Macaca fascicularis: one gene and its partners. The protein of the gene in region 3 interacts with the protein of the main gene of each other region in a biochemical or structural test. Links are inferred from orthologs where the notes say so. Each region holds a gene or a part of one and is shown on either strand. Other genes may lie near its edges. The genes, in order: CD2BP2, CD58 and CD2.

The links.
Region 1: the proteins of CD2 (region 3) and CD2BP2 interact in a biophysical measurement, tested with the Homo sapiens proteins (6 studies listed by BioGRID and IntAct, with this or other methods). The link is inferred for Macaca fascicularis from reciprocal best matches to the Homo sapiens genes CD2 and CD2BP2.
Region 2: the proteins of CD2 (region 3) and CD58 form a complex in vitro, tested with the Homo sapiens proteins (3 studies listed by BioGRID and IntAct, with this or other methods). The link is inferred for Macaca fascicularis from reciprocal best matches to the Homo sapiens genes CD2 and CD58.

The regions. Positions count from the first base shown.
Region 1 is NC_088394.1:28,490,736-28,501,330, forward strand, and holds CD2BP2 (CD2 antigen cytoplasmic tail-binding protein 2), read right to left. Parts: upstream 5,757-10,595; 5' UTR 5,687-5,756; intron 5,180-5,686; 5' UTR 5,154-5,179; coding exon 5,076-5,153; intron 4,796-5,075; coding exon 4,660-4,795; intron 4,535-4,659; coding exon 4,377-4,534; intron 4,277-4,376; coding exon 3,841-4,276; intron 3,761-3,840; coding exon 3,654-3,760; intron 3,588-3,653; coding exon of another isoform or gene 3,569-3,587; coding exon 3,458-3,568; 3' UTR 1,245-3,457; downstream 1-1,244. Other genes in the region: TBC1D10B (TBC1 domain family member 10B), read right to left, coding at 8,461-9,138, 9,228-9,382, 9,715-9,904, 10,081-10,146, 10,270-10,384. UniProt on the Homo sapiens protein: Involved in pre-mRNA splicing as component of the U5 snRNP complex that is involved in spliceosome assembly.
Region 2 is NC_088375.1:117,822,420-117,832,856, reverse strand, and holds the start of CD58 (lymphocyte function-associated antigen 3), read right to left. Parts: upstream 5,956-10,437; 5' UTR 5,937-5,955; coding exon 5,867-5,936; intron 1-5,866. UniProt on the Homo sapiens protein: Ligand of the T-lymphocyte CD2 glycoprotein.
Region 3 is NC_088375.1:117,639,582-117,650,022, reverse strand, and holds the start of CD2 (T-cell surface antigen CD2), read left to right. Parts: upstream 1-3,494; 5' UTR 3,495-3,557; coding exon 3,558-3,618; intron 3,619-3,756; coding exon 3,757-4,077; intron 4,078-9,745; coding exon 9,746-9,976; intron 9,977-10,441. UniProt on the Homo sapiens protein: CD2 interacts with lymphocyte function-associated antigen CD58 (LFA-3) and CD48/BCM1 to mediate adhesion between T-cells and other cell types. CD2 is implicated in the triggering of T-cells, the cytoplasmic domain is implicated in the signaling function.

The DNA of each region.
Region 1 (10,595 bases), on a different chromosome or scaffold from region 3:
CTCTACTAAAAATACAAAAACCAGCTGGGCATGGTAGCACAGGCCTGTAATCCCAACTACTTGGGAGGTTGAGGCAGAATCACTCGAACCTGGGAAGCAGAGGTTGCAGTGAGCCAAGATCGCGCCACTGCACTCCAGCCTGGGTGACAGAGCAAGACTCAGTCTCAAAACAAAACAAAACAAAAAAAAGCGAGATAGATGAAGATATCTGCAACATAATTGAACTTGAAAGCATAGGCCCAAGTAGAAGCCAGACCCAGAAGACCACATGTATGATTCCATTTATCTTCAATGCCCAGAAGAGGCAAATCTAGAGGCAGGAAGTAGATGGGTGGTTGCCAGCGCTGGGGGGTGAGGAAGGGTGGGGAGTAGTGGGAGGGGCTACTCATGGGTCAGGTTTCTTTCATGGCAGGAAAAAAAAGTTTTAAAATTAAACTGTGGTGATGGTTGCACAACCCTGTGAATATACAAAAAACCACTGAAGGGTACTGAAGCGTGGTGACAGGTGCCTGTAGTCCCAGCTATTCGGGAGACTGAGGCATGACAATCCCTTGAACCCAGGAGGCGGAGGTTGCAGTGAGCTGAGATCGTGCCATTTGCACTCCAGCCTAGCAACAACAGCAAAACTCCATCTCAAAAAAAAAAAAAAAAAAAAAAGCTTACTCAAACAAAATCTCTCTGTATATATATCTTACAAACTGTATACATATAAACTGCATATATACAACTAAAAAAGAAAAGCATGCTGGTCACAGTGGCCCACACCTGTAACCCCAGCACTTTGGGAGGCTGAGCTGGGAGGATCTGTTGAGTGCAGGAGTTTGAGACTAGCTTGGGCAACAAAGCAAGACCCTGCCACTACAAAAAAAAAAAAGTTTCTTAATTAGCCAGGTGAAGTGGTGTACTCCTGTAGACCCAGCTACATAGGAGGCTGAGGTGGGAGGATCACTTGAACCCAGGAGTTCAAGGTTGCAGTGAGCTATGATCACACCACTGTACTCCAGCCTAGGTAAGGCCCTGTCTCTAAAAACAAAACAAATAAAAAGCCAAGGAGCGCTGATTCAGATGTACTATAAAGGCCACCCTAGCAAGAGACAGCCACATTTATAAGTCCTGACAGGGACCTGAAATAGCAATGTGGTCACAGGAAGGGAGAACTTAGCGAGATTGGGTGGTTCATGAGGCATCCGCTGGATGCATGAGTAGTTGTTTCCTATTGGGGCTGTTAACAAATTACCACAAACTGAGAGGCTGAAAACCACACCAATTTATTATCTTACAGTTCTAGAGGTCAGGAGTCCAAAATGATTTCCACCGGGCTGAAGCTGTGTCAGTGCGGCTTTGTTTCTCCACGGAGGCTCTGGGGCAGAATCCAATGCCTTTTTCAGCTCCTCCAGGGGCCACCTCATCGCCTGGCTCTGGGCCTTCTTGCCATCTTCAGAGCCAGAAGCTTCCTTGCTTCACGCGCAGACCCTCCTGACTCCCTTTCCCTTATAAGGGCCCCCATGATTACTCGGGGCCCACCTCAACCACCCAGGGTCATCTCCCCACCATGAAATCCTGAACTGAAGCAGAGGCGCCGGGTCCCTTTTGCTATACAAGGTAACACTTTCCCAGGTTCTGGGGTTCAGAACCTGGACCTCTTTGGTGGCTGTTATTCCACCCACCACCGTCGTCAGTGAGGCGCCCTAAGGAGGGGCTGTGAGGTCACGTGAGGTCGGCTTCGGAAGGGCTAGGTTTGAGTGCCTGGAGGACACCGGCAGGAGGCGCCCCTGGGCTCCATTGATTTACCATGCACTCACTCAGCACCCCTGAGAGACCATCCCTGGGGCCTACAGGTGAACCCTGTACCTCAGCCCTGACACCTGCTTTCCACTTCCGGACCTTTCTGAAATCAAGACGCATCTTTAGATCAATGGCATCTTACTGTGTCACTGGCAGGCCTCTTCTTTCTTAGTGATGTTTAAAGGAAGGTATCTTACCCCTGATGGCTTCTTGGAGTGAATGAAATTCCAGTGTGAGCAGGCACTAGAGCAGGCCTCACAAGAGCGTCCGGTAACCCCACTCCACCCTGGCCCCCAAGTCTTTCCTAGTTGCTCGTCTGGCCCTTTCTGCCCTGGGATTCCAAGTGTCCTGCAGCTCTGGTGCCCAGATCCCCGTAACTAATGGACGGCACTAAAGCCACACACACGCTCAGCTCTACAACCACAGTGGGGTCCAGGAGCCAGCCCTCCTGCTAGCGGTGCCTCAACCATGGGGGTCGGACCCAGGGGCTCTCTCTCGGCTTGGCTGCAAACTGAAAACACCTAGAGGCTTCCGAAATACCCAATGCCTGGGCCACAACCTAGACCAGCTCAATCCGAATATCCAAATAGATATTACAGCTCCCCAGGAGATTCCAAAGGGCAGCCAGAATGGAAAACCGGAAGAAACCATCTAACGTGGTGCAAGGGAGGCATAAGGCAATGCTGGTAGGGGGTAGGGGGTGGAGGGTGCCAGGCCCAGGCTATAGAATTACACCCATGCCTCTGCCACCAAACTCTGAATTCCTGGAAGGGGACCAGCCCAGCTACCTCAGTTTCCTGAAGGCACTAGCCCTGTGCCAGGCACCTAGTGGGGCCGAGAGAATGTAGGCCGCAGGGCCTCAAAGGCCAGGCAGCAAAGGCTTTGTGCCAAGAAAGGTCTGGGAAAGGAGCCCACTGGTTCTGGGCCAGCCCTTTGATTCCTGTGACCTCCAGTGAGTCACTGCCCCTCTGTGCCAGTACAACGCACGCTTGGCCCACGCTTGGCCACTGAGTTTGCATTTCACTGAAGGGCTATGGGAACGACTGCAAGGAGAGAAGAAAGCCAGGCTAGGGAAGATACTGGCTCTCAGAACCTTAGGGATCTCGGTCTTGGACCACTCATCCCACTTCTGCCCAGTGTCTATGGAGCTTGAGAGGGTGGAGCAAGAGTAAAACGTTTCCATGCCCACCCCCAACAGAGACCCAATGTCTTCTCCATGCCCCGGTCCTTCCAGGCCTAAAAGCTCCACTTCTGGGGCTCCATCCCCTGGTGGCTACAAGGACAAAGAATCTGACATCCTGAAAGCCAAAGACCTAAGGGGAATCAAACAAGAAACCTCAGAGAGGAACACAAAGTAGCGCAGTTGGGGGTGTTTACACAGCAAGCAGAGTCCAGGCAGTGAGGCCACAGGACACCTGACAGGCACCTCCAAAGAAGATCTTCATGGGAGCAAACACTCAGGGACCAAGGCAAGTCCAAAGTGGCTGTGGAGAAGGCCCCTGGCTTCTGGCCGTCAGCACAGCCAAGGCCCCAATACACAACTAAAGGCTTTTATTGGGAAAGGGAAATTGACTGAAAAATGGCCTCCAATTTCCTCACTGCCTGAGACACTTGGTGCCTTCTCCACAAAGTCCAGGAAAGAATGACCCACCAAACTGGGCCCCCAGCAGGCTCAGGTGTAGAGCTCAAAGTCAATGCGTTTGGAGTTGTAGAACTGACCACCAGGGGGGTCCAGCTTCCGGCAATAAACACCGTCCGGGAAGTAGCCTTCACTCACCCAGGTCTGCAAGGAGAGGGCAGAGCTGGGGAAGGACTGACAGGAGTAGGGGAAGCAGGGACAAGCCAGAAGGAGGGAGAAAGCAGCTCACCTGCATCTGGGCGCTGGTGAAGGGCCCATACAGCTCGGCATCCCCCGTGTTCTCCCACTTATATTCCCACATCACATCCACCAGACCATCTCCTGGCGACTCTGCTTCTAAAATAACAGGCAAAGCCATTTGACCTCCGGTGTCTCACTTCCCGCCCACTGCCCCCTCCTCTGTCCTCCAAGCTTACCTCCTCTCTGGGTAGGGGTTGGGGTCTCCAGTTCCTCCTCTGCCACTTCCTCAGCGAACATGTCCAGGGAGGGTGGGGGTGTGGGATTGTGGGGTCCCACGGTCTGACACCCCAAACCCTTCAGCCGCATAGCCAACCGTTCCCTTGTTTCCTGGTACACGCCAAGGTTGCCCCGGGCCACCATCTGGTCGGCCAACCCGGAGAGCCGGTCCAGGCGCTGAGGGGAACTGGGACGCCCAGGCCCCTTGCTGCTCCCTTTGCCTCCTCCTCGGGCCCCTAGACGCCTCAGTGCCCCAGCCACTGTCTCTCTAGGCAACAGAAGCTCCAAAAGTCCCTCCAAGAGGGCTTGGGCACTCATTGGGGTCTGGCCCAAGCTGTCTTCCTCCTCCGAGTCTGAGGCCTGGTGCTGGCCAGGTGGCCGCTCCCGGATCTTCACCTGTCATGGAAAGATGCAGTGATTTCCCACGAACTGCCATGGGAGCAGGCCTAGCATCCGCCACTCCCCGGCCCCAGCCACACCAGCCCCTGGGCCTCACCCAGTCAATGTTGTCCAGCCAGCTGTCTCGGATCTGAGCATCCCGGTTCAGGAAGTAGTTGCCATCAGCATCAAAGTGTCCTTCCTCCATCTCCTCCTGCAGGTTAAAGGGTGTGATCCGAACACCCCCCTCGCTGGGGAGTGTGGCTGCCTCCTGACCTGTACCAAAGACACAGGTGCCCTTTTCTAGGCATGGAAAAGAGAGACTGGAGCCTCCCTCACTCCACACCACCAGAGGCCCCTACTTGTTTCTCCAGCAGAGTGTATTCTTGGGTACAGCTCACCTTCTACATCCTCTGAGGCCAGGATGTCGTATTTGCTGGACCCCCCATCATCATCATCCTCCTCATCGCTATCCAAAGAGTGTTTGCCTTTGAAGCGGCTCCCAGGACCCCCTGACCCAGCCACAGGGTCCACCAGCTGTGAGCAGGAGTCAAGTCAAGAAATGCAGGTTACTGGCTACCTCCCCAAATACTTCCGGATCTGGACCCAAATATTCCCCAAATATTTCAGGATCTCGACTACTTCCCCAAATATTTTAGGACCCACACTGAAGATGCTCCCAACCCATTCTTCAGAGAACCTGAAAAAACTAGGCTTTTCTCTGCCTGCCCGCCCCGCCCCACTCCCGCCAGCTTTCTTTCTCCTCAGGCTTCTAGCTCCTCTCTTTCCCCCACACAAAGGAGTCTGGCCCCCTCACCTTCTTCTTGGGGACACTGATTTCATCCTCATCTTCCTCATCTCCCACGCCTTGGAAGGTCACTTTCCTCTTTGGCATGACGGGGCAGAGAGGTGTTTCTCAAGCTGAGGAAAGGATACAGAGAAAGAGAATGGGGTGAGGAGGGGACTCGCCACCAGAGGACCCAGCACAGCAAATATTTTTCCTGGTCTGTGACAGGTACAGTTTGGGAGCGGAGGGAGCACAAAAGCAAGGGCTGAAGAGAAGCTGGCAGCCAGGAGGCCTGCAGGACTTGGGTCTAGCATCCGCGAGTTAAATGGGGTGGGGACGGAGGAGCGGACCCTCTGGATCCCCTGACCCTGGCCAACAGGGAACAGACTTCACCACGTGACCGCTCCCAACTCCAGCCCCCGCAGTCTGGGCGCCACCGGCTCGACCGGCTGACCCCCGCCTCCTACTCTGGCTCTCTCGGAGCTCGCGGGGCCCGGGCAGACCCAGGACCTGGCGCTCTCGCCACCCCGTTCCTCCCTGCTCCGAACTCCCAATTCCGTGTGGTGAGCCCCAACTGTCCCGGGCTGTGTACAAATTAGAGGGCCACGGGGATCCGGGCTGTCCCACCCTCGCGCGCTCACCTGGGACTCCGCGGGAGGCGAGGTGGCGAAAAGAAGAGATGCTTGCGCCAAGGCTACATCCGGGGCACCCGGCCGCCATCACCCGGAAGAGGACTGTGGAAGGCGCCTGGGAAGCCCGGAAGTGGCTTCACTCGGGTTAGGGAACTAACTGGAAGAGCGGGCGGAAGTACGCGGTGAGCGAGGGAAGACGCCTCCACCCTCTCTCCCGCAAGAAGTGACGTCAGTCGCGTGGGAGGACAATGGCGAGAAGAGGGGACCTGTGAATGCCTACACTCTGACCGGGCGTGAGAAATGGCCGGAAGTACCTTCGATTCCCTCATTCAAGCAGTAGAGGCTCTGGAGAAAAACGAGAGCATCTACTTAAAGGGTCGCCCAGGGTCAGGATGGAGGGGCAAAGTCCGAGCAGGGCCAGTGGGTCGCTGCCCCGTTTTCCTGTGCTGGGTTCGAGTCACCCTTCCACCAGGGCTGAGGGCTCAGCGCCCCTACCGTCTCGTTAGAAATCCTGCCTTCCCACTCCTGTGGTCCGGTGGTAAGCTCTCCTATCTGAGAGGTGGAGCCTTGCCCTCCCCGAGGGGAAGCCTGGCTCTCCCGATGGCCAGCCCGGGGCCCCTGGACGGCTCTCGGGGCACTTTCTGGACACAGCTCCCTTTAGGACCCAGGGGAAGTCATTTGTCCCACGCCCATACCCTGGGCGAGTTCCTGGCTTCTGAGGTGGGAGAGCCATCACTGGAGAGGTGGCATTGGCACCAGTACCCAGGCCAGAAGTCCCTGTGCCCTGCTCTCAGATAGGCCTGGAAAAGGGCAACAGTGCCTCTCTGTAGCATGAAGCCCCTCTGAGCAAACAGGGCCTAGCACCACGGCCTGGAAAAGGGCAACAGTGCCTCTCTGTAGCATGAAGCTCCTCTGAGCAAACAGGGCCTAGCAACTCGTGCCCAGGTAACAGAATGTGGCCCAAGCAGAAGCGGGACTGGGGGAGGTGGCGGGGGGTCAGCCCCTGTACTGGAACCTCTAGCTCTTGAGGACACTCGGAGCCTGCATCCCCCTAAGCAAAGACTGCCCAGGCGGCACCTGCTGGAGCCAGACGAGGACAGTGTGAGAGTTCCCCTACTCTTCCCCAAGGCAACTAGATGGGCCACTTCTCTCTCCCTAGGGATTTCCTCCCATATTGGATCACGATGGAACTGCACAGAAAGTCCATGCTCAGTTTCTTCCATGGTTACAGAACACAGGCCCCAGACCAGGAAGGCATGTTGCTAAAGAAGGGGACCCGAAACCTCAGCTACCAGCACCGATGGTTCATCCTCCAAGGAAACCTCTTCTACCTAGAACACCAGACCGATCATGCACCCCTGGGCCTCATCCCGTTGGAGAACTGCCAGGTGGAGCTACACCTTAAGAACCCTATGCCTTTACCATCCTGACTCCTGGGGTGGGCGGGCCTACAAGCTGGCTGCAGAAACCCAGGAAAACCTGGAGACTTGGCTGTGGGCACTGGCTGGTGTGAGCTGGAGGTGGCTGGCTGGGCTGCTGCCCCCACTCAAGACCTAATACCGGGAGCTGTGCCAGGCAGCTGGCCAAGAACCCATCTCATGCCCAGAGGACACTGGCTTTCTAGCCACCATGAGTACCCGTTCCAGCTTCCAGGAGTTGCATGAGCACTTTGGGAAGCAGATCTGGGTGCTGCAGGTGGTACCTAGAGAGCTCCAGGCAGCCAGTGACAATGGAGACAGCACATCCCAGGCAAAGCTGGAGTAGGAGCTCAACCAGTGTCTGATGAGTGACTTGAGAGATGGACCCAAAGCCAAGAGATACCTACTTGCCAAGACAGCAGACTGTTTTAACAGAGACCCAGGTCCTGGCTCTGTCTCTCCCTCCCTCCCTCATCCTTACCCCACCCCAACCCCCATCAAGTAACAAGGCAGGAGACAGACTCGGGTACAACAGCAGGTTCTTTTCTGATTCCTCAAAGCGCTGCATGGGGTGGGGGCAGAGACAGAAGAGAATGTAAACATTGGGTTCCACCCCCTGGAGCTCAAGGGAAGACCCTTACCCAGATAGGGACTAACTGGAGGGGTGGAAGGGAACAAGGTGAAAGGTAGGGGTCCTGGTGAGACAAAGCAGGGGGGCCTGAGAACACAGAGCAAGGTGGGTTTGGAGGGTGCACAGCAGGGTGCGGGAAGGGATATGGGGGACATTTCCTATTCCAGTGCATGTCCCCTTAAATAAACTGGGTACAGGAGCATTATGGAAGGAGAACCAAAGGACAGAAGACAAAAGCGAGCATCCCCACCCCAGGCCAACCCCATCCTCTGTACATAATTACAACACAGAAAGGTCCAGAAGGAGAGCCCAGGCCAGGAATTGGAGACAGGGAGGGCTGAAGACAGGGAAAAGGAAGCCAGCTCCACCTCATGGTAAGGGGAGCCATGGAGTGTAAGAATTTGAAACTGCTGACTCCCATCACCAGGAGTCACCCCTGGGATGACAACGGGCCAATCAGGACAGCACCTAGTAGGGGACCCAGAGGGAACTGGGGCAGGAGCGACAAAGACCCCAGCTGAGCCTCATGGGAGATGAGAGGCTCCAGACTCGTTTGCAGCTGCCCATCTGTCCTGCCCGTGTAGGGATCAGCGGCTGGCGAGGAGATGGGGAACCAAGCCACTTTCCCCAGTGAGGGACAGCCTGCCGAGGGGCTAGGGGGTGGCACCTCGGGCCAGGCCTGCTCTTGGCTGAGGGAAAGAAGGGGGCCATGCAGTCCAGCCCCAGGGCAGAGGTCAGAAGTAAGCGTCCTGCCGGGCCTCGGCTGCTGAGGGCTTGTCCCCACCATCGTGGGGGCCTGGGGGCCCATCTGCCTTTCGACGCAGCGAAAGCTTCCGGCCTTGAGCCTTCTTCTCCTGCTTCTGCCGCTCCTTCTCCTGCTTCTCCCGCTCCTTCTCCTGCTTCTCCCGCTCCTTCTCCTGCTTCTCCCGCTCCTTCTCCTGCTTCTGCCGCTCCTTCTCCCTCTCCTTCTCCCGCTCCTTCTCCTGCTTCTGCCGCTCCTTCTCCCGCTCCTTCTCCTGTTTCTGCCGCTCCTTCTCCTGCTTCCTGGTCTCCTTGCTGGAACCCAATGGGATGCTGTTGCCAGTGGGTGAGGGAAGGGATGGATGCAGTCCCTCAGCAGTGACCACAGGCCCTGGGGCAGGCCCAGCACTGGCCCTGCGGACGGGAGGCGGTGGGGAGGGGGCCCCTCCAGCAGCCCTGGAGCCTCGGCTCTTGAGACCAGGGAGGCTGAGGAGGCTGGAGGAGGGGCCCAGGGGTGGCTGTTGCCGCCGGCGCTCCTCATGGATGGCCCGGGAGCCATGCAGTCGCCGTGAGGGCCGATACTGCAGCTCCCCCCGTGTTTCCCGCCACTTCTTGAGCTGGGCTGCATTCTCCCTCTCAATGAGTGCTTCTGTCACTGGCAGATTGGTCACCTGGACAGAGAGGAAGTGCATACCAGAATGGAGCTGAGGGTGGGAGCGGGCTGATGCAGGCAGGGGCTGTGCTGAGGGTGCAGGCCTACCTCGTGCACCAGGAAGTCCTCCTGCATGCACTGCTGGGGCAGGTTACGCAGCTGCTCCATGGTCTCATACATGCCTTGGCAGGAGCGCAGCTTCTCCACCGAGCCCAGCGTGTGGCGCAGCAGGACCAGGGCCACCCGGAAGATGATCTTAACGCCTGCAGGGGTGAAGAGTAGAGAGCACAGGGTGGTCAGACCCAGGATCTCAGCCTGTCCTGATTAGGACGGACTCACAGCCCTCATCCCCATCTACTGCCAATCTCAGATGAGGAAACTGAGGCCCCATGAAAGGAAATGAGCTGCTATCAGTCTCAGGATCTTGGCAGGGAGAGCAGGATCTAGGTTGGGGGCAGAACCAAAATCAGGCCTGTTTCTCCAGCCCCCAGCTGCTTATGGTGAAACTTCCACCCACAAGTACCTTTTGTCCAGGGACCACAGAACCCCTGGTAGCCACCATAGCCCCTCATGGCCTGGAGGGCCACAGAAGTACCTTCACAGAAAAACATGTCCCAGACACGCAGCACCGATGCCCAGGGCAGGGTACGGGCGAAGATGCACATGAACCACTCCGTCATGTAGAGCACAGGGTCGATGCGCTGCCGCCGCAGGTGGCGATGTGCCAGTGGAGAGGCCCGGCGCAGGAGCGCAAAAAAGATCTCCCCGTCCAGCTGAATGGCCTCCTACAGGTGGGACAAGTCATGAGAAGAGGGCTAAGTCAGCTGTGCCCCCATCAGGGGAGAACTGGCAGGCCCTGTGGGCAGAGGCTGAGAAGGCCAGGGTGGGGCAAGGCAAGGACCTCCCTGCAGCCTGGAGGAAATGCCACAGCTCTGGATGCACCCAGCCTTCAGACACTCACCAGCCCTGCACTGTAGTAACCTGGCAGGTACTTGTCGCAGATCTGCACCAGGCACCAAAAGGCTTGCTGAGAAGAGCAAGAACAAGGAGGAGGGGTGGGGCCTGAGAAGCAGGGAGCAGGGAGCTCCCCCATCACCACTGCAGGCTGAGATCCCCCCTGCCCCTCCCGGCCCAGAACCAGGGAGCTGACCTCCGCAGGCATGTGCATGAGCAGGACCGCGGCCACGGGGGCCTGGGCCTGGCAGTAACCCTCGTCAGGCCGGTAGATGGTGTAGGCCTTCAGGATTCGGTACAGGTCCTGTTGCCTGTGGGGGTTGGGGAAGACCATGAGGGCAGTCACAGGGGCCAAGAGCTCTGTTCCCAAGCCCAGTTCCAGATTCATCCCAGAGCTTTACTACCAGGACCTTCCATCCACCTGTCCAGTCCTGCTGAGCAAGCTTCAGCTAAAGGCTCAGCCCACAGCAGAGCACTCCAGGCCCCAAGGCTCCGCCTTTGGCTACACACTCCACATGCTCC
Region 2 (10,437 bases), about 180 kb from region 3:
GCAGCAAACTTCTGCCTGGACATCCAGGCATTTCCATACATCCTCTGAAATCTAGGCAGAGGTTCTCAAACCTCAATTCTTGACTTCTGTGCATCCACAGGCCCAACCCCACGTGTAAGCCACCAAGGCTTGAGGCTTGCACCCTCTGAAGCAACAGCCTGAGTGGTATGTTGGCTCCTTTTAGCCATGGCTGGAGCTAAAACAGTTGGAATGCAGGGCACCATGTTTGGAGGCTGCATAGAGCAGGGGGACCCTGGGTCCAGCCCATGAAACTATTTTTCCCTCCCAGGCCTCCAGGCCTATGATAGGAGGGGCTGCCATGAAGGTTTCTGTTATGCTCTGGAGACATTTTCCCCATTGTCTTGGTGATTAACATTTGGCTCCTCATTACTTATGCAAATTTCTGTAGCCAGCTTGAATTTCTACTCAGAAAATGGGTTTTTCTTTTCTATTGCATCATCAGGCTGCAAATTTTCTGAACTTTTATGCCTTGCTTCCCTTTTAAACATAAGTTCCAATTCCTAACCACATCTTTGTGAACACATAAAACTGAATGCTTTTAACAGCAACCAAGTCACCTCTTGAATGCTTTGCTACTTAGAAATTTCTTCCACTAGATGCCCTAAATCATTTCTCTCAAGTTCAAAGTTCCACATATCTTTAGGGCACAGGCAAAATGCTGCCAGTCTCTTTGCTAAAACATAGTAAGAGTCACCTTTATTCCAGTTCCCAACAAGTTCCTCATCTCCATCTAGAATGAGCAGCATTTGGTTAAAGCCATTCAACAAGTCTCTAGGAAGTTCCAAACTTTCCTACATCTTCCTGTCTTCTTCCGAGTCCCCCAAACTCTTCCAATCCCTGCCTGTTACCCAGTTCCAAAGTTGCTTCCACATTTTCAGGTATCTTTGCAGCAGTGCCCCACTACCCAGTACCAATTGACTGTATTAGTCCACTCTCATGCTGCTAATAAAGACATACCCAAGACTAGGTAATTTATAAAGGAAAGAGGTTCAATGAACTCACAGTTCCACATGGCCATGGAGGCCCCACAATCATGGCAGAAGGCAAAGGAGAAGCAAGGCACATCTTACATGGCAGTAGGCAAGAGACAGCTTGTGCATGGGAACCCCCATTTATAAAACCATCAAATATTGTGAGTCTTATTCACTATCTGAGAACAGTATGGGGGAAACTACCCTCATGATTCAATTATCTCCACCTCGCCCTGACCTTGACACATGGGGATTATTACAATTCAAGGTGAGATTTGGGTGGTAACATAGAGCCAAACCATATCATGGGGTTTCAACATGTTGCTCAGGACGGTCTCGAACTCCTGGGCTCAAGAGATCTGCCTGCCTCAGCCTCTCAGTACTAGGATTACAGGCATGCGCCACCATGCTCAGCCCAGTTCATACTTCCAAACTCTTGCTACTTGCCCAGCACTACCCAGGCCCTATCCACATGTCATTCCACTAATGCAAGCCCACACCAAATCCTGCCAGTTCCACCTTCAAAACACATCCAGATATCTCTTACCCCCAGTGATTCCTTTCCTGCATTGCCCCTGCAGCCTAACCAACCTCCCTGCTCTTCCTTTTCTCTCCTCTACATACTATTCATCCAGCAGCCAGAATAATTCTTTTAAACACCCAAGTCATCATAACTTCACCCCTGTTCAAAATCCTTCAAAACTTTCCAGTCACTGAAAGCAAAAAGGTCAAAATCTTTAAAAGGCCCTAAAAACTTTATCTACAGGATCCATCCCTGACTACTTTTACAACTTCATTTTCTACCACTCTATGCCACAATGGTATCCTTGAAGTTTCTTAAACACTTGAAGCCTATCTCAGGATCCTGAGTAGTATACCTGGAATATCACTCCCCCAGAAAGCCTTGTGGCCTATCTCTCACTTCCTTAAGTGTATGATCAACTGTCACCCTATTAAAGAGACCCTCCCTAACTAAACTATGTAATACTAACCAGCAGAGGGTAGCTGAATTAAATACCATATAGCCACCCTATGGGGGACTGTACAGCTGTGAAAAAGAATGAGGATGATCTCTATCAAGTGATGGGGAATGATTTTCCAGATGTATGGTGAAGTGAAAAAATGAGATACAAAAAAATACATAGAGTGTTACCTTGTTTAAGAAGGGTAGTTAGAAAAAAAAAAAAGAATCCAAATAACATTTTTTTTTTTTTTTTGAGATGGAGTCTCACTCTGTCACCCAGGCTGGAGTGCAGTGTGGTGATCTCGGCTCACTGCAGTCTCTGCCTCCCGGTTCAGGCCATTCTCCTGCCTCAGCCTCCTACGTAGCTGGAATTACAGGTGCACGCCACCACGCCCAGCTAATTTTTTTATTTTTAGTAGAGACAGGGTTTCACTGCATTAGCCAGTATGGTCTCAATCTCCTGACCTCATGATCCACCCACCTCAACCTCCCAAAGTGCTGGGATTACAGTCATGAGTCATTGCACCTGGCCAGAATTCAAGTAACTTTTGAATATGGTATTGCATACATCTTCACTGGGATATACAGATTTTCCTTATTATGGAGTTATATATTGAAAAACTCACTGTAGAGCTGAAAAATCTTAAGTCAAACCATTGCTAAGCTGGAGATAATCTGTAATGAAAAATAAAAGGAACTGTAAAGAAATCTTTAACTGTATTTAGTAAGTTTGTAGTTGGTGGTAGATTGGTATAACAACTGTAAAATGATTTGGGGTTTAACGTAGATTAGGAAAATATACTGATGCTACTAAGAACAGAGTTCTCACTGTGGGAGTAAGGAGATGCAAACACGGAAAAGCAGAAGAGGGAGAAGAACTGAGCAGTAAGATTATTAGTGTTAAAGGTATCAGGGTGAACTCCTGACTTTGTAAAAACTCCATTTCTTAACTTTGAAAACTGACAAGGCTGAGAAGCAATGACACCAGTACCTGTGGGCACACCTAGCACCCAGAACTTGATTTCTAAATACCATCTCTCACTAAAAGAAACCCAGGGAACCTAATGATTTGAAGGCTGAGGCAGGAACACTACAAAATGAGTCCAGAATATCTTTCTGTGCCAGAAAGTAAGGGTTTAAAATCAAACAGGAACACAGCAAAAGGACTCTGAAGCTTGAAGGGGTTCCTGCTTGTCAAATGTGGGGTCGCTGAGCATCAAAATGGATGACAGGAATGTCATATTTAAAAAAGAATCCATGAGTCCATACAACCTTCTAAAATAAAAGAAAAAAAAGAGAGGATGTGTGTGCAAAAGCTATTCATTATGAATAATGTAAACCAATAAATATACATAGAAAAACAGAATAGAAAATTGCTGGGTGGCTCATGCCTATAATACCGACACTTTGGGAAACTGGCTCAGGAGGATTGCTTGAGCCCAGGAGTTCGAGACCAGCCTGGGCAACATGGTGAAACCCCGTCTCTATAAAAAATACAAAAAAATTAGCTGGACGTGAAGATATGTCCCTGTAGTTCCAGCTACTTGGAAACTGAGGTGGGAGGATCGCTTGAATCTGGGAGATCAAGGCTGCAGTGAGCCATTTGTGTCACTGTACTCTAGCCTGGGCAACAGAGTGAGACCGTGTCTCAAAAGAATAGAGAAAAGAAAAGCAAACAAAGAAGGAAAGAAGGGAAGGGAAGGGAGGAAGGAGGGAAGGGAAGGGAAGGGAGGAAGGATGGAAGGGAGGGAGAGAGGGAGGAAGAAAGGGAGGGAGGAAAGAAAATTACCATTTGAAAATATTTTAGTGGCTGGATGTGGTGGCTCCTGCCTGTAATCTCAGCACTTTGGTAGGCCAAGGAGGGAGGATCACTTGAGCCCAGGAGTTTAAGACCAGTCTGGGCAACATAGGGAAACCCTGTTTCTACAAAAAATAAGAAAAAATTAGCCAAGCATGGTGGCATGTACCTGTAGTCCTGGCTACTCAGAAGTCTGAGGTGGGAGAATTGTTTGAGCCTCAGAGGCTGAGGCTGGAGTTAGCTGTCATAGTACCCCTGCACTCCAGCCTGGGTGACACAATGAGACCCTGTCTCAAAAAATTAAATAAAATATTTTAGTGATAATGGATTCTGAGAAGAATCACCATAGGATACTAAAACCACTGAATAAACAGTGGCTGGAGAACAGGATATTCACTCAACCTCAAAACATCACTTAACACATCACTTATTACTTACAAAGATAAAATGGTGCCTCTACAATGGAGAAATCTGGTAAACTTCACTTCAACCAAATAGTCAAAGTTAACATCTCTAATAATGTGACCAACAGACCACATCTGCTTCCCGATGTGACACACTGAGAAAAACCCAACATAACTATGTAGTATTCCTGCTAACAAAGAGTTACAACCAGAATCTGATCATGAGGAAACAAGCAGGAAATCCACATCCAAGGGACATTCGGTAAAGCAACCAGCTCAGACACTTCAAAAATGATGATGTCATAAAGTACCAAAAAAAAAAAAAAAAAAGCAACACTTTTAGGTTAAAGGGGGTCCAAAAGGCATGATTACCAAATGAAGTATGTGGTGCAAGACTGGCTTCTGGGTTCTCTACCAGGAAACAGTATTGTATCAATGCCACATTTCCAGACCATGATGATTCTGTGACTTGTTGGAGAATGCTATTGTTCTTACCAGACAAATGCTGAAGAATTACAGGTGAGGTGTCATGAGGTCTGAAACTCTCAAATGGTTTGACAAAAATAATAGATGTGTGTGTACAAAAAAAACTAATGTGACAGTTAACTGGTGATTCAAGGAGAAAGTATGCAACTATTCACTGTACTAATTTTGCAACTGTCCTAAGATTTTAATTGTTCCAAAATTTAAAAAAAAACTAAATTGAAATATTAACGACTTCCATCTCCCCTTTCTTTGCTTTACTCATCTCTATACTAGTAAATGTTTACTTTTATCACCATTCAGCATCCATGTTTTTACTCATTTACTTACTGTCTCTCTCCCTCACTATAAGGTGAGCTTCAAAAAGGCAGGGAACTGTGCGTACCTTACTGTATCCCCCGTCTATTATGCAGTGCTTAACATACAATTGATACTCAGTAAATATTTATTGAATGACTGATGTTCCCAGTAATTCTATGAAGTGGGTTTATTATTATCCTTTCCCTCATGTGAGTGGCGCTCTCTTCAAAAGCGAAGGTACTGAAGTGAACAGAAGTTAGGGAACTCACACAAGTTCATGACTCAGGTGAGGAGTGGGGCCAGGATCCAAAGCTAGGCATCTGACCCTACAGCTGATGCTGTTAATCACTGTATTTGCAGCTTCCCTAGTGAGACTCGGCTTCCTAGTTGCTTCCCCGCTCCTCGCTGTGGGGCGACTGAAAAGTCCTCTCTGCTGATACGCCGGACGCGGCGTGGGCGGGGACTGCACCGCGCGCTGAGGGCACCGGGCGTCGCCCTCAAGAAGGTGGCATCCGCGACCGCACCCCGTCCCGGGCGCGTTCACGGCTGGGAAGAAGTTTTGCAGTCCGCGGAAGCGCTCAGCGACGTTACTGGGGAGGCCCGGGAAGGAACTTGGTCACTGGAGCTCGGGAGGGGGAGGGCGGGAGTGGGGGCGCGCGGGCCCCGCAAGAGAGGCGAGCGGGCCGGAGCCCGTCCTTCCCTGAGGCCACAGTTCCTTGCTGACTCCATGAGGGACACTGGCGATGAAATAACAACTTTCTTTTCCTGAAAAGGCTCCCACGGCTGAGTTGTTCCCGGCCCACAACGACCCGTCCCCACCCGGTCCCTGATCGGCACCCGCCTCGAGCCCGGCGCGTCCACCCAGCCTGGGCGCTGCCCAGTACCCGCCGGCCGGCGCGGGGCCCCTGGAGCAGGCTTCACTCACCGAAGCAGCGCAACAGGCAGAACACGCCGAGGACCCCCAGGGCTCGCCCCGCGTCGCTCCCAGCAACCATGGCTGGCCGGCCCGCCTCTGCGCGAATACCCAGCCACTAGCAGCCCTAAGTTCAAGCACCGCCTACGCGGGCGGCCAGAAGTAGGGCTCCGCCCCGCCCGGGGCTGGCAGCCCGTGGCCCGCCCCGGCCCTTCCTTCCCCACCCTCCCCGGCCTTTCCTCCCCCACCTTCCCCGGCCCTTCCTCCCCCACCCTCCGCGGCGGCGCATTTGTCTTCCCGCTTCCAGTCCCCAGGCGCGCTCCTGGGCTCGGCTCTGCGCATCTCCTTCCTGTGTCCCCGGGGCGCCGTCCAGTCCCCCAGCTCGGTCCCTCCCGGCATTCCACCGCCATTCCATACGCTATTTTTAAGTAAGAAATTATTTCCTTGAAAGTGGCTTGCGTTTTAAAAACCAGGTTTCTCTGCCTTCCTCCCGCACCTCCCGCGCTTCCCCTTAGCGTTTGGGGCGTGCTGAAGGCCGCTCGGTGGCTGGACGGGGCTGTCGCTCCCGGAGAGCCACCGGAGGAGGCAAGGGAACGGGCAGGAGCACCCGGGGCCCCTCATCGCTTCAGCGCTGTGGGATCCCGCCTCAGACGGCCTCTTTGAACCACTTTGTGAACCACTTTTCCTCAAACATGACAAGGAAAGGGGGCATTTTAGACAACTGTTAGTAGGCGTAGGGTTACCTAGGGCAGGCCTCCTCCGTCCCCACACTCCGGTATCCCCGGAGCTGGGATTTCCAGCCTTTGGTTTCTCCCTTCTCAGATTCCTCTCTCTCTTCCCCCATCTCAACCGTGGACTTTCCCTCAGGCTGATGTCAGATCCACATCTCCCTCACTGCCCAGCCTCCCCACATCCATCCAGCCCAAGCTGCGGCAGGCACTCATCACTCTCCCTCCTTCATCAGTCTGGATTGAGCTGGCCCTCCCCTCACATCCCTATATCCCAGAACAAATGACTCTATTCCCAGAACCAACTCCTCACATCAGCCTCCCTATCTGTCCCCTTTCTTGCAGACAGAAGCACCAGAGTTGCCCCTGCCCGGCCGAAGGAGTTCACAGAACTCTTAGTTATGATGTGAGCAGGAATTCATTTCCATGAACAGGACTCCCTGCTGCCCAAATAACCACCAACACATGGTGCAGGCTGTGACACTGAGTGGGAATGTGCTTTCTTGCTGCTTCCCCTCCATTATCCCCAGGTGGGGACTCAAAGTCACTGGAGACACTTGAACCATATTGCAAAGAGACATGAATTATTTCTTAAGTTAGCCATAAAGTCTTAAAAGGTTATCTCTATCAGTGAAACTTCTGGGACCAAAGCCCTCTACCACAAACCTGCTATCTCAAGATACTCCCTACCATCTGTAGATACTGGGAACACAAGGCAGGTGCAGTGTGTAACATAAAATGTAAGGACATCAAGTGTTCTCTGCCCTGGGCTGGTAGGAACTCAGGCCAACTTAGAAAGGCAGGATTGGGGTCAGACCTTCAGACACTGGGGAGCCACAGAAAGTTTTTGAGCTGGGAAGTGATATGACAGCAAACATCTATTGAGCAGGCCCCATGTGAAGTGCATTACTTGGATTCACTTAATCTTACTGCTGTTGTTTTTGCAAATGAGGAAACTGATGCCTGGAGAAGGTAAGTTACTAAGGGCACACAGTAAAGGGCAGAACTTGGAGTCCAGCTGAGGCCATGTCCAGGGCCTCTACTCTTACCCCTTCCTACAGGAGCGGGATATGATAATGGGACTTTTGGACTGCCAGCAAGAGCTGTTAACCCCCTTAAGAGCAGGGCTGAGGAAAGAACAGCCCAGTCACAAGGGGTTGCGGAAGCCCCTTGCCCCCAGGTCATGGTCTCCAGGTATTGGGTGAGGAATAACTCATTAGGCTTCCTTGGTTGGACTCTCCTTTGACCAAGGAGCGGTGCGTGCTCTTTCATTGAGAGAAATGCTGTCCATCAAGCACTTTTAGAAGCACTCAAATGCCTGGTTAATTTTATGAATCAAAAGCAGCTCAGGAATGCTGGACCTGCAATGTGTTAGGCAGGCAGCCAAAAAGGTTCCCTTTACATACTGAGAACCTGCTATCAAAAGGAGGGGTGGATGTATCTTTCACGCTGTGACCAGTATTGCAAGGTCCAGTTTTATCTTCTTGTCACTGTAGGTAATCATGGATGAGAAAGTAAGAAAGGAGGGCTGCTTAAGAGGCCGGGGCTGTTCTTCCTAGCATGTCACTCTCTGGTGTCTTGACTCTCGTTTTTGCCAAACCCTTGGAACCACTCCCACAAAGCTTAGGAATCCCAGAATGTAGTGAGCAAAACACTGCCCCAATCCTGCATAAATGCAAATTGTCATTTTCATTGCATGCCTCATGGGGGAATGTATGTTCACTTCATTTATATCAATACTGAGTGGATTTGCACAAAGGGCATAGAACGGTAATCTTATTCCATAATACTCTATTTCCCTTTTTAAAACATTCCCTGGCAGAAAAAGAACATTTGAAAAAAATTAGGAAAAATTATACATAAGACTTAACATGGAACCATTATGGGTACCCAAGGGAGAGGCAGTCACATTTTCAACTCCTGGCCAAGCCAGCAGCTGCAAGGAGTTGATGAGGATGCAGCCGATGGTTCTGGGGAGCAGAGGATAGCACACACGAAAGCTTTGAAAGTCTTGGACTTAGGAGAAGAAAAAAAGAAGTGTCTCCCTCTGCTTCTTACTATCTAGTTCCTTTTTGCATGTTCTGTGAATTTTAAAGAGTTACAGCTGGGTTCTGGCTAATCACGTATCACTGCGATGGCTTTAATCATTCTAACATTCTTCTCAATTTGCAGATGTAAACCCCTCCCAACACTGGAAGAGGAAACAGAGACCAGTGCGCTGTGCAGTGTCATTCAACTAGAAGGCACAGCTCCTGCTCTTATCATTCTGGGAAATCCTTGCTGCATTTCATGGCCAGGGCAGCACTTCATAGCTGGAAAAGGATGGTGTGGACTTGCTGCAGAGGCCCTAGAGATGGCCATCCTGTGTTCCTGCTCTCCTTCTCATCCGGTTTCTATACTCTAACCCCCAACAAAAATGCGACAGGTTGTAAGATCTACATTCTGAACCTGCCTTTCAGGGGCTAAGTGTGTTGTGTGTTGCACAGCTCTAGCGGTAGCACAGCCTTGATCATCAGGGTGGAGGTGTCTATTGACTATGGTATGTCGCAGCAGATGGCAGTGAAGTGTCTTGAGGAAGAGGTGTTTTTATCATTTAAAGGTTACGGGGTGTAATAATAAAGACTGCAATTCACAGACCTTGAGCCCAGCAGGCCAATGCCAAGGGCAGAACTGTAGGCCTCCCACAGCACAGTCCCACAGAGGAAGGGGGCTGGTTAGTAAGGGGGAAAGAATGATAGAAGACCACAGTAAATGTAAACAGCCATATTTTCAACATAATTTACTACAGGTCTCTGAAGTGTATATAAAATGTTTTAGTGCAACATCTTACAAATAGTTTTCCTTTAAAAAACAGAAACAAATCAACAGCTCTCTACATCATGCATGGGTAGTTTTCTTACCCCATCGTTTTTTTTTCTTCAATAATTAACGCAGAGAAACCATTGTTTGAAAATATGAAAACTTGCTACAGAAACACCCGGTGAAAGAGGGTGTTGTCATATTCATGTCCTAGAATGCGCCTAGCACAGTGTAGTTTTTCATAAATGCAACATTGTAGACATAGATGAATCGAGAGTATTCAGCAGTTTTCCTCCGTCTCAGAAGACTAAAGCTCCAGTAGACAATGCGCAATGAGGTCTCACAGCCACTGGAGGGCACCATTACCATCCATCTGACATCGCATTTCCACAGAAATGGCCAAAGAAAGAAGGTCCTGGGGTTTTTCATAGAAAGCTCGAAAAGTTCAACCTTTGATGCTATCCCCCAGCCCAATACAAAATACACAGAAAAAGCAATTATTAAAATACTGGCTTCGGTTTCTTTTCCTTTCAAATTCCTGCAATTGCTTTACACATTTAATTGCGTGCAGCACCTACTTTGCTATCGAACAGATTCAAACTGAAATCTTAGTTATACATCCTAGTCCCAGCCAGCCCTCTGGCATCCTCCCATTTAGACAGAGGAAACGCCAGTCATCTTCCCTCATTGACTCAGCCTGTAAAGTAGGAGTCAGCAAATTCCCACTGAAAGCCCACATCCCTGAAATAAAGAAATGGGGCAAAAGACCTTCTTTCTTCATGACTGAGCCGCTCCTGTACCTCAAATGTGTTGATGCAGCATAATAAATGAGAATCAGCATGTCAGGCAACAGCAGGATTAAGGTGGTGGTGCCTGCACACTGTCTCACAGGAGGGTACTGGTGTATTTGGGGGAGAAAAGGCAGGTCTGTGTGTGTCTGTCAGAAAATGACTGAGCAATCGCTGCCGTGCTCCCCTCAGCTGGGAATCAGCAAAGCATCTGCCGAGCAGCCTGGGCCACCTGCACACCTGCAGACCCTTGAAGGATCAGCACAGA
Region 3 (10,441 bases):
CAGTATATTGTGATCATGCCACTGCACTCCTTCCTGAAACAGAGCAAAACCCTGTCTCTAAAGTTAATTAAAAAAAATTGTTATGCCTTTGTCATGTATCTTGCAAGTAATTTGCTCCTTTTAGTGCATTCTTTTAATTTTTTTATGGAAAAATACAAAGTTTTCACATTTTACAGAGTCAGATCTACCAATCTCTTTCTTTTTCATGGTTTCTGCCCTTGAAGCCATGCTCATCACTCAGAGTAGAATTAGTTTTAGAGGAGCAAAATCAATGTTTCAAATAGAAAAGCAGAAAGCTGCTCTTCACATGCTCCATGAGGAAAGTGAGAGGAAGAGAGGGCAAGCGCACTCAAAAGCTGAGACGGGGGAGAGGATGGCCAGCGCCACCTTCTCTCCACCAGGCCTTGACAGACTGGAGTTGGACAGCGGCTGGTGGGTCAGCCACTCACAAGCAGGGAAGCTCTGTGCTGCTCCTCTGGGTTGGCAGATACTTTTGAAAAAATATGTGTGCCCTAAGCATCCTTTCTTAAAAAGACATTTTTTATTACAAAAAAAGTGTTTACTTCCAAAATTTTAAACTTCACAGAAATTAATAAAATGTGAAAGAAAAATAAAATGCCAGGACCCCAATTCATTATGCCAAAAGGAAAAAATAAACTGAAAGTTGAGTCACGCAAGAAACTGCCTTCCCTTGAGTTCCTAAGCAGACAACTACAGACAAAAAGCTGCTGTCTCCAGGGGTAGCTACTCTATGTTCACCTTATCTTATGAAAGTGCCAATTTACTGAGCATGAGAAGAATACACAATTGACCATTCCCCTACCTGCTTCTTTTCTCTTGCAACATATGGATTCAGTAATGTGACCGTGTCCTCCCTCCTTCCCCTCTGACCGGCTTTTCCCCTTTAAATACTGAAGCCTTCAAAACCATGTTGAGAAAAAGGCACAAACCACAGATTGTTCCTGTGGTTCTGTGTTCCTTTTTGTCCTTAATGTTGATGAAATAAACTTCTAAATTGATTGAGACCTATCTCAAGTATTTTTTTGGTTTACAAAGGTAAGAAGTGAAGATTTCATTTCGGTTCTCTCGCAGTCTAATACCTGAAAGACAAGCACTGTAAAAAAATTCACCATCAGCCCTTTCAGGCTTTTTTCTCACACATACCTTAAGAACAACAGAGTATGATACAGTATACTGGTATACCCGTAGCATAGTATAAACACAGTATCATATATAAAAAGGACTAATCCTATAGATATTGTTTTGCAATTTACTCTTTTCATGTGATTTTCCAAAAGCATCTTTCCATGTCTTACTTTTAGGCCTATGTTATACTATTTTGATGCTTATGCAATATTTCATAATATGAATATACTATAATTTTACTGGTTTGCAATTTTTTATTACAAAAATGATACAACAAACGTCCTTGAACAGCATTTTAAAACATCCGTGCTTTCATATGTGTGGGATAGATGTCTGAAGTTAAAATCACTCGGTGAAAAAAAGACAAATTTTAAAGTTTGGTGGAAATGAAATTCCTTTCCCCAGAAGGTGTTGATTTATATTCCCTCTGATGTTGTATGAAGGTTCATTTCTCCACACATTCATGTTAATAATGTAAATTATCATTTTTCCTAATTTTGCCAATCTGATGGTGAAAAATGGTATTTTATAGCTAAGATATATGCATATAATTCTGGTGACATTGGACTCCTCTTGCGGGTTTGATATTTCTTCTGTGAACTACTTCTTCTGTAAGCTGATCATTTATATCCTTTGCCCATTTTAAAAACTATTTTGTATTGATTGATAAGAATTATTTCTATGTTTTGAATATTAATAATTTTATACATATCGCAAGTATTTTGTCATGCCTTTTCATTTTGTTCCTTATTTCTTCATCTGCACATAAATCTTACTTCTTTACATCATCAATTGTGTTCATCCTTTCCTTCTTACTTTGGATTATGTGTTATATGTAGATAGGCCTTCCATACTCAAGCTATAAGAATATCTTTCTGTATTGTCCTTTTAGCATTTTAATTAATTAATTATTTTATTTTATTTTATTTTTTTTGAGACAGAGTCTCACTCTGCCGCCCAGGCTGGAGTGCAGTGACACCATCCTGGCTCATTGCAACCTCTGCTTCCCAGGTTCAAGCACTTCGCCTGCCTCAGCCTCCTGAGTAGCTGGAATTACAGGCACACGTCACCATGCCTGGCTAATTTTTGTAGTTTTAGTAGAGATGGGGTTTCACCACGTTGGCCAGGTTGGTCTTGAACTCCTGACCTAAGGTGAGGAGGTCCGCCTCGGCCTCCCAGAGTGCTGGGATTATAGCTGTGAGCCGCCACGCCCGGCCTCCTTTTAGCATTATTGTAGTATTTTTGCATTTAAAATTTTAATTCAACTGTTGTGCATTATTGTGGAAGATGCTCATACAACCATGAGGTAAATATTTGGGCTTCCTTTTACCCAGTAATAGCAAACAACTGCTTTGACTTAATTTCATTTCCTTGGCAACTTTCTGACAGATAATATCCATATTTGTACTTAGAGTTGAAAAAGAAAACAAGCACCTCTTTTACAGTTTTTACTCACTGTGACCTAAAGAATTGTAACGCTGAAAATGTGCTTTGGAAGTCTGTCATGGTTATTCCTCTTTTTAGGCATCTTTTCAGGGCACATGCATCTCTGCATCATTGTCTCTTTCCTTGTGTCACAAATTTCTGTTCTCTTTTTCTCTCCCTCATTTCTTTTTCTCCTAATCTCTCCTTTTTCTTAACCACCTATAATGTTAATCACTTTAAATGCTTTTGACTCCTTTGTTTTGGTGGTTTAATTGTATTTCATAGTCTCCATGCTTCTTTGTTTTGGAACAAGTTTCTATTTACCTAACTGTGAATTTCACTAGGGTTGTAAAATGTACCCCGAACATAGGATTTGGGGATTGCAAGCATTTACAGCTGATACTTAATTTCTTTCTTTTCATCACAAAAACGATTTTAGAACATGAAAAATATCTTTGGAGAAACAAAAAAATCAATTTCCTAATCATTTTATGGGCATACTTTTCAATATTTATAATCATATAGGATAAATATTTGCATTCTGCTAATGGCTTGGCTTGTGAACATTTACCTATATTTCTCTGTGGTCTTGTTAGGGACAGTATACCTAAGTGGATAAAAGGCTGGGAGGTTGAATTTGGCTTCTTGTTTACAAAAGACTGATCCTTATTCATCTACTTAGCCTCTATGTTCCTTTTCTCTTTCACTGAGATGAGAAAATCCATCCATCCCAATTTTTTGTGAGGATTAAAATGCGGTAAGAAAACACACACTCATAAACACATCTGCTTTGGTAAAGGAGCACATCAGAAGGGCTGGCTTGTGCGCGCTCTCGCTCTCTGTGTATGTGTGCTGTGTTTTATGTTACTGTAAAAGATGTAAAGAGAGGCACGTGGTTAAGTTCTCGGGGTGTGGACTCCACCAGTCTCACTTCAGTTCCTTTTGCATGAAGAGCTCAGAATCAAAAGAGGAAACTAACTCCTAAGATGAGCCTTCCATGTAAAATTGTAACCAGCTTCCTTCTAATTTTCAACGTTTCTTCCAAAGGTAAGTTGGTGGATGGGTCTCCACTGTCACGGTTAGAAGCTTCTTCTTCGGAGACCCTGAAGTAAGCATAAGAGCCAAAGAAGTCCCAACCCAACTTTCCCTGGAGGTGACTCTCAGTAACTCTTTTGCTTTTTCTAGGTGCAGTCTCCAAAGAGATTAGGAATGCTTTTGAAACCTGGGGAGCGCTGGGTCAGGACATCGACTTGGACATTCCTAGTTTTCAAATGAGTGATGATATTGATGATATAAAATGGGAAAAAACTTCAGACAAGAAAAAGATTGCACAATTCAGAAAAGAGAAGGAGACTTTCGAGGAAAAAGATGCATATAAGCTATTTAAAAACGGAACTCTGAAAATTAAGCATCTGAAGATCCATGATCAGGATAGCTACAAGGTATCAATATACGATACAAAAGGAAAAAATGTGTTGGAAAAAACATTTGATTTGAAGATTCAAGGTAAGTGTTCATTCCCTTAATTGCTTTATTTCAGTGTGGGTGCTATTTGGCAAGTTGGAAAATAGCATTTATAATATTCCCCAACGCTGACCTCTGCCTCCAGGGGGGCTGTACAGGAAATCAGATGCATGTCTCCTGCGCCAGTGGAGACTGTGGTCCAATGATGGAATGGGATCCACACATCTGATAGACACATCTGAAGTCTACCTGCCTACAACTCTCTCTTCAGGTGGTTACAGGAATGTGAGGCTGGGTGAAGAACCTGGATTAAGGTGGCATTAATCAGGAGAGGGACACAGGTGGGCAGAGAGAAAAGGCAACTGTTCCAGGTTGCTGATGAATGGGCAAGTTAAGAGTGGGGCGGGAAAAGGCTGACTGGAGAGCAGCGGGCCTTTCATCGACAGAGCCCATTTCAAGCCAGGCTGCCCTGAAGGAGGAGTTATATGGCAGAAAAGGCCTGGAAACAACATATTTAAAGATGAACAGCCCTTGTTTTGGATCTGCTTGTCAGAGCGATTCAAGGTGATAGGTGATTTTTGCTAATATGTGTAGAAGATGCACAAGGTGTGGCTTTATTTATCTCTACCTGTACTGGGAGGGCAGGAGTGGATATTGAGGATGGGGTTAGGGAGACTAGTCAGAAAGCTGCTGCTGTGATCCAAGGGAAGTGAGGACCAATTAAATCAGATGTTTTTGCATGCAGCCTGGGTATCATTAGGTTATAAAGCTCCCTGGGGGATTATAATGAGCAGCCAAAGTCAGTCACCACTGGCCGAGACCAAAGGGTGCCTGTAAAATGGGAAGAATGAGGATAATAAAGGTCAGGCATAGAGAAAGGTGGCTTGGGCAAGGGAGAGAAGGAAGAGAAAGTGGAATCGAAATGCCATTGAAGTTGAAAGCCCAGGGGATGCTGGGGAGGGAGTCATAAGAAGGAAAAAGAAGAAGCTGCGCTTGACTTGGGGAGGCAGACAGGAACCCCAGCATGAGCACAGGCCAGCCATTCAGTGAGCAAATAAGCATTTCTGTGCTTCACACAGAAAATGTCGCCAGAAGCAGGGTCCCCTCCTTCTTCCTCTCTGTCTCCAGCCCCGTCTTCAGCACCTGGGCCTACCAGCAATCCCAGATAGTGTCAGATTGCCCAGTCCAGCAATCCCAGACACTGTCAGCTCCCCTGCAGTGACAACTTTCCACACCCTAGTCCTGCAACCCTGAGTGGGAGCACCTTGTAGAAATGTAGCGGGGTTGAGCATGGCGCTCAAAAGGGCCCCTGATTATGGGCTCTGGAAACCACAGATCTCAGGACTCCAAACAGCACAAAATTTGAGTGTCCTGTTTTGAGTGTGAGCCCTACGCGGGAGACCATGCTGGTGTTTTCACATTTGGGTCGCATTTAGCATTGCGGTGGAAATAGTGGCTACCAGCTAGGGGTCAGGTGCTTGCTTACATGATCTTACTTAAAGCTCCCAACAATACTGAGACATAGCTGTTATTATCTCCTTGTTATATGTAAGAAAACAGAGACCTAGTCAGAAGCAGCTTGTCCAAGGTCTCATTGCTTGACAGGAGCAAAGTCAGGATTCAAACTCAGAGGTCTTTTTGGCAAGGATGATGACCTTTTCTCTTTTTTTCCAAGCAGCTTCATTGAGATAACTCACCTAGCATTCAATTTGTCCATATACTAAAATGGCCTTTAGTATATTCAGAGTTTTGTAACCATCACCACAATCAACATTTTCATTGCCCCCAAAAGAAACCCTTCACCCTTTAGCCTAAAGACAGCGACTTGCTTTGTGTGTGTGCACGCCAATGTCATACAACATCTTGATTCAACTTGTAGTTGGGCACTATTACCAGACTTGAGGTCACCATGGCCTTGGGCAAATTCCCTATCTGCTCTGAGTCTGATTTTTGAATGACAACTTCAAGGGATATTCAATGAGACAATGTGTGTACAAGTGCCCTGCAGTGCCTAGGGCACAATACCTGTTTGCTCAGTGCTAATGCCCTCCCACATCTCTTTGTTTCTCCAAGCTTCTCTTTGTTGTTTTTTGTGTGTGTGTGTAAGATGGAGTCTTGCTCTGTTGCCCAGGCTGGAGTGCACCAGCATGATCTCTGCTCACTGCAGCCTCTGCCTCCCAGGTTCAAGTGATTCTCCTGCCTCATCCTCCCAAGTCGCTGGGATTACAGGCGTGTACTACCACGTCCAGCTAATTTTTGTATTTTTTTTTTTGCGGGGGGGGGGGGCGGGGACGGAGTCTGGCTCAGTCGCCCAGGCTGGAGTGCAGTGGCGCGATCTTGGCTCACTCAAAGCTCCGCCTCCCGGGTTCACACCATTCTCCTGCCTCAGCCTCCCAAGTAGCTGGGACTACAGGCGCCACCACCACGCCCGGCTAGTTTTTTGCATTTTTAGTAGAGACGGGGTTTCACTGTGTTAGAGATGCCATGTTGGTCAGGCTGGTCTCAAACTCCTGACCTCAGAGGATCTGCTTGCATCAGCCTCCCAAAGTGCTGGCATTACAGGTGTGAACCACGGCACCCAGCCTCCAAACTTCTCAAACTCCAGTAGTTGTGCCTGCATTTCCTTCATGAGGGAGTTGCTGCTGCAGGCTGAAGAGGCAGTGGAGGGCTCCTTAGAAACATATGCTGGTAGGGAAGGGGTTAATCCCAGCAACTCAGAACTAAGGAGTTCTCAACCATGGAAGGCCTTAGGTTGGATCGGTTCTAAGATGCTATCTTAGTGAATGTATACGGAGGTACCACTCCACAACTCCCGTCACTGCGTTGTTCATGTTAGCGAAATGCTAGAACAGTCAGCAGTCAGAAATTTATTAATCAATTAAATTAAGAATGCATCCTTTAAAAAGATGGAGATATGCATTTATTGATGTTCATTTAAAAAAGAATGTCATAATATAATTTCACAATAAAGGGAAAAAGGCAGACTATAAGATCACATAAACTAGTTTTAATTTTAAAAATATTACATATATATATAGAGAGAGAGAGAAGGAGAGAGAGAGAGAGAGAGACAGGGTCTCACTCTGTCGTCCAGCCTGGAGTGCAGTGGCGCAATCTTGGTTCACTGCAGCCTCTGCCTCCTGGGTTCAAGCAATTCTCATGCCTCAGCCTCCTGAGTAGTTCGGATTACAGGCACGTACCAACACACCTGGCTAATCTTCGTATTTTTAGTAGAGATGGATTTCACCATGTTGGCTAGGGTACTCTTGAACTCCTGGCCTCAAGTGATCCGCCCACCTCAGCCTCCCAAAGTGCTGGATTACAGGCATGAGCCACCTCACCCAGCTGAAGTATTACATTATTTATATATGTACACATAAATAGAAAATATCTGATAAAGATATACATGAAAATATTATTCATTATTGACCTTGAGTGGTGGCATTGTGGGTAATTTTTAATCTGCTTTAAACTTTTAAAAATATTTTATCAACTTGTACAATAACTGAAGTTGAAAGCCCACGAATGCTGGGCAGGGAGTGATAAGAAGGGAAAAGAGGAAGCTGCACTTGGCTTGGGGAGGCAGACAGGAACCCCAGCATGAGCACAGGCCAGCCATTCAGTGAGCAAATAAGCATTTCTGTGCTTCACACAGAAAATGTCGCCAGAAGCAGGGTCCCCTCCTTCTTCCTCTCTGTCTCCAGCCCCGTCTTCAGCACCTGGGCCTACCAGCAATCCCAGACAGTGTCAGATTGCCCAGTCCAGCAATCCCAGACACTGTCAGCTCCCCTGCAGTGACAACTTTCCACACCCTAGTCCTGCAACCCTGAGTGGGAGCACCTTGTAGAAATGTAGCGGGGTTGAGCATGGCGCTCAAAAGGGCCCCTGATTATGGGCTCTGGAAACCACAGATCTCAGGACTCCAAACAGCACAAAATTTGAGCGTCCTGTTTTGAGTGTGAGCCCTACGCGGGAGACCATGCTGGCGTTTTCACATTTGGGTCGCATTTAGCATTGCGGTGGAAATAGTGGCTACCAGCGAGGAGTCAGGTGCTTGCTTACATGATCTTACTTAAAGCTCCCAACAATACTGAGACATAGCTGTTATTATCTCCTTGTTATATGTAAGAAAACAGAGACCTAGTCAGAAGCAGCTTGTCCAAGGTCTCATTGCTTGACAGGAGCAAAGTCAGGATTCAAACTCAGAGGTCTTTTTGGCAAGGATGATGGCCTTTTCTTTTTTTTTCCATGCAGCTTCATTGAGATAATTCACCTAGCATTCAATTTGTCCATATACTAAAATGGCCTTTAGTACATTCAGTTTTGCAACCATCATCACAATCATGTTACTGTGTTACTGTTATAAGTAGAAAAAAAAAAAATCCATTCTGAAGAGACAGGCAAACTTCATGACCCAACCCCTAGACTATGTACTAACTGGTTGCTGAGTGTAGATACTTTCCATTTTCTTCCTTCTCAGTAACGCCGATAGCATCTTAGAACTGATCATCATGGGATGAGAAGAAAACTTTTAATTTAATTTCTGCATGCCTATATATATTGGGACATAAATGAAGTTTGACTGTCATGTTCCATGGGGAAGATATTGGTGTCTGGAAGTCAGAGTGGGAGGGAATCATTGAAAAATAAGCTAGTGGGTCTATATTATGAATGGAGAGAAACTGAGAGGGAAAAGTGGCAAGTCTGGGGGAAACAAAGCAAAGAATTAGAAAAAAAAAAAAAAAAAAAAAAACCAGAGGAGGAGGAAAAAGAGAAGGTCACACAGCTAGGAAGTGATGGGGCTAGGATGTAGACCTGAGCCATCTAATGTCAAGCCCAGGCATTTTCCTTTTATGATGCAGTCTCTCTCCGGGAGAGGCAAGAAGTTTGTGATTATTGAATGCATGAACTACCACTAATAATGTCAGTGCCTAATGATCTGCCCAGGACTTTGCCACATGTTGCTCCTTTTGTGACAGGTGGGGCATGTTTTTCTGATCCTTTTCTGATGCTCTGAGGAGGACCAGTGTAGACCCTGTGAGCAGCTGAGCAGCTCTGGGCTGGGAAAAGGCAGAACCAAGTCTCTGGTTCCCAGGCAGGTGCTCTTTTTCCCCAGAGCCTTGAGCTCCTTGGACACCCACGTGCTCACATGTACCCACCTGGCCCTCTGCTCCAGGAACTTGGTTGGGGCAGAAGTATCCGAGGTCCCCGTTCACATGTCAATGTGGCGATTCCTCCAGGATGGGGTTCCTGGCTGCTCTTAAAGCATTGCCCTTCTCAAACTCCCGAGGCACCCTCTTAGCCATATTCCTAAACCCTGACTGCCATGTTTTATTTAGATGGTGCCCTAAGGCCACTCACTGAACCTCTCAGAGCCTTGAACATTTTTTTCTGTAAATGGGAAGAAAAACATCAGCCTCTCTGTTAGGATTAAGTGGTATCATACATGTGAAAGCATTTTAAGGTATAAGACAGCATATAAACATTACATATGATACATTATTTAGTGGCAAAATGTATCTATGAATGTCATCAGAAATAATTTTTTTCTGAATGCTCTTTGTAAATAAAATCATTTCCAAAAGGTGCTAGAGGTCTTTGACATGGTTCCCTTGTCCCTAACTGACTCCATCCCCCACTGTATAAATAGATATGCTCATTAAAATCAGAAAATTGCCTAAATTGAACTGGATCTTTATTTTCTTTTTAGAGAGGGTCTCAGAACCAAAGATCTCCTGGACTTGTATCAACACAACCCTGACCTGTGAAGTAATGAATGGAACTGCCCCCGAATTAAACCTGTATCAAGATGGGAAACATGTAAAACTTTCTCAGAGGGTCATCACACACAAGTGGACCACCAGCCTGAGTGCGAAATTCAAGTGCACAGCAGGGAACAAAGTCAGCAAGGAATCCAGGATGGAGACTGTCAGCTGTCCAGGTGCGTGGCAGGTGTCACTTCACAAACACAGCTCTCCAGGCCCTCAGGAGGTAGAGGCACGCTGCTCCAGGTCACAGGTGCTCATGCTGGGAGGCAGCCCTGGCTCAGGATGAAGCGTGAAAACGTATCTCTTCCTCCTGGAAACCTTCAAGGGAAGCCTCGGGGGGGGGGGGGGGTGGTATTCTATGGTTACCCATCCTGGGAGTCCTCCCACTGAGCACAATTTGACCACAAGCAATTTTAAAGATCCTCTTCTAGGAGAAAGAATTGCAAAACTGAAGAGGGAGGAGCTGTAGAGAGTATCTCATGCAAAACCCCATTTTCCAGAGAGGGAAACTGACTTGCCCAAGGTCCCTTGGCTAGTTAGTGACATGATTCCAACTGCTCCCCTAAAGATCATCAGTGGTCAGCGCCTCCTATCAGGAATAAAGGTAGAAAGGTTGCAGAAACCCTGAGGGGCAGGGA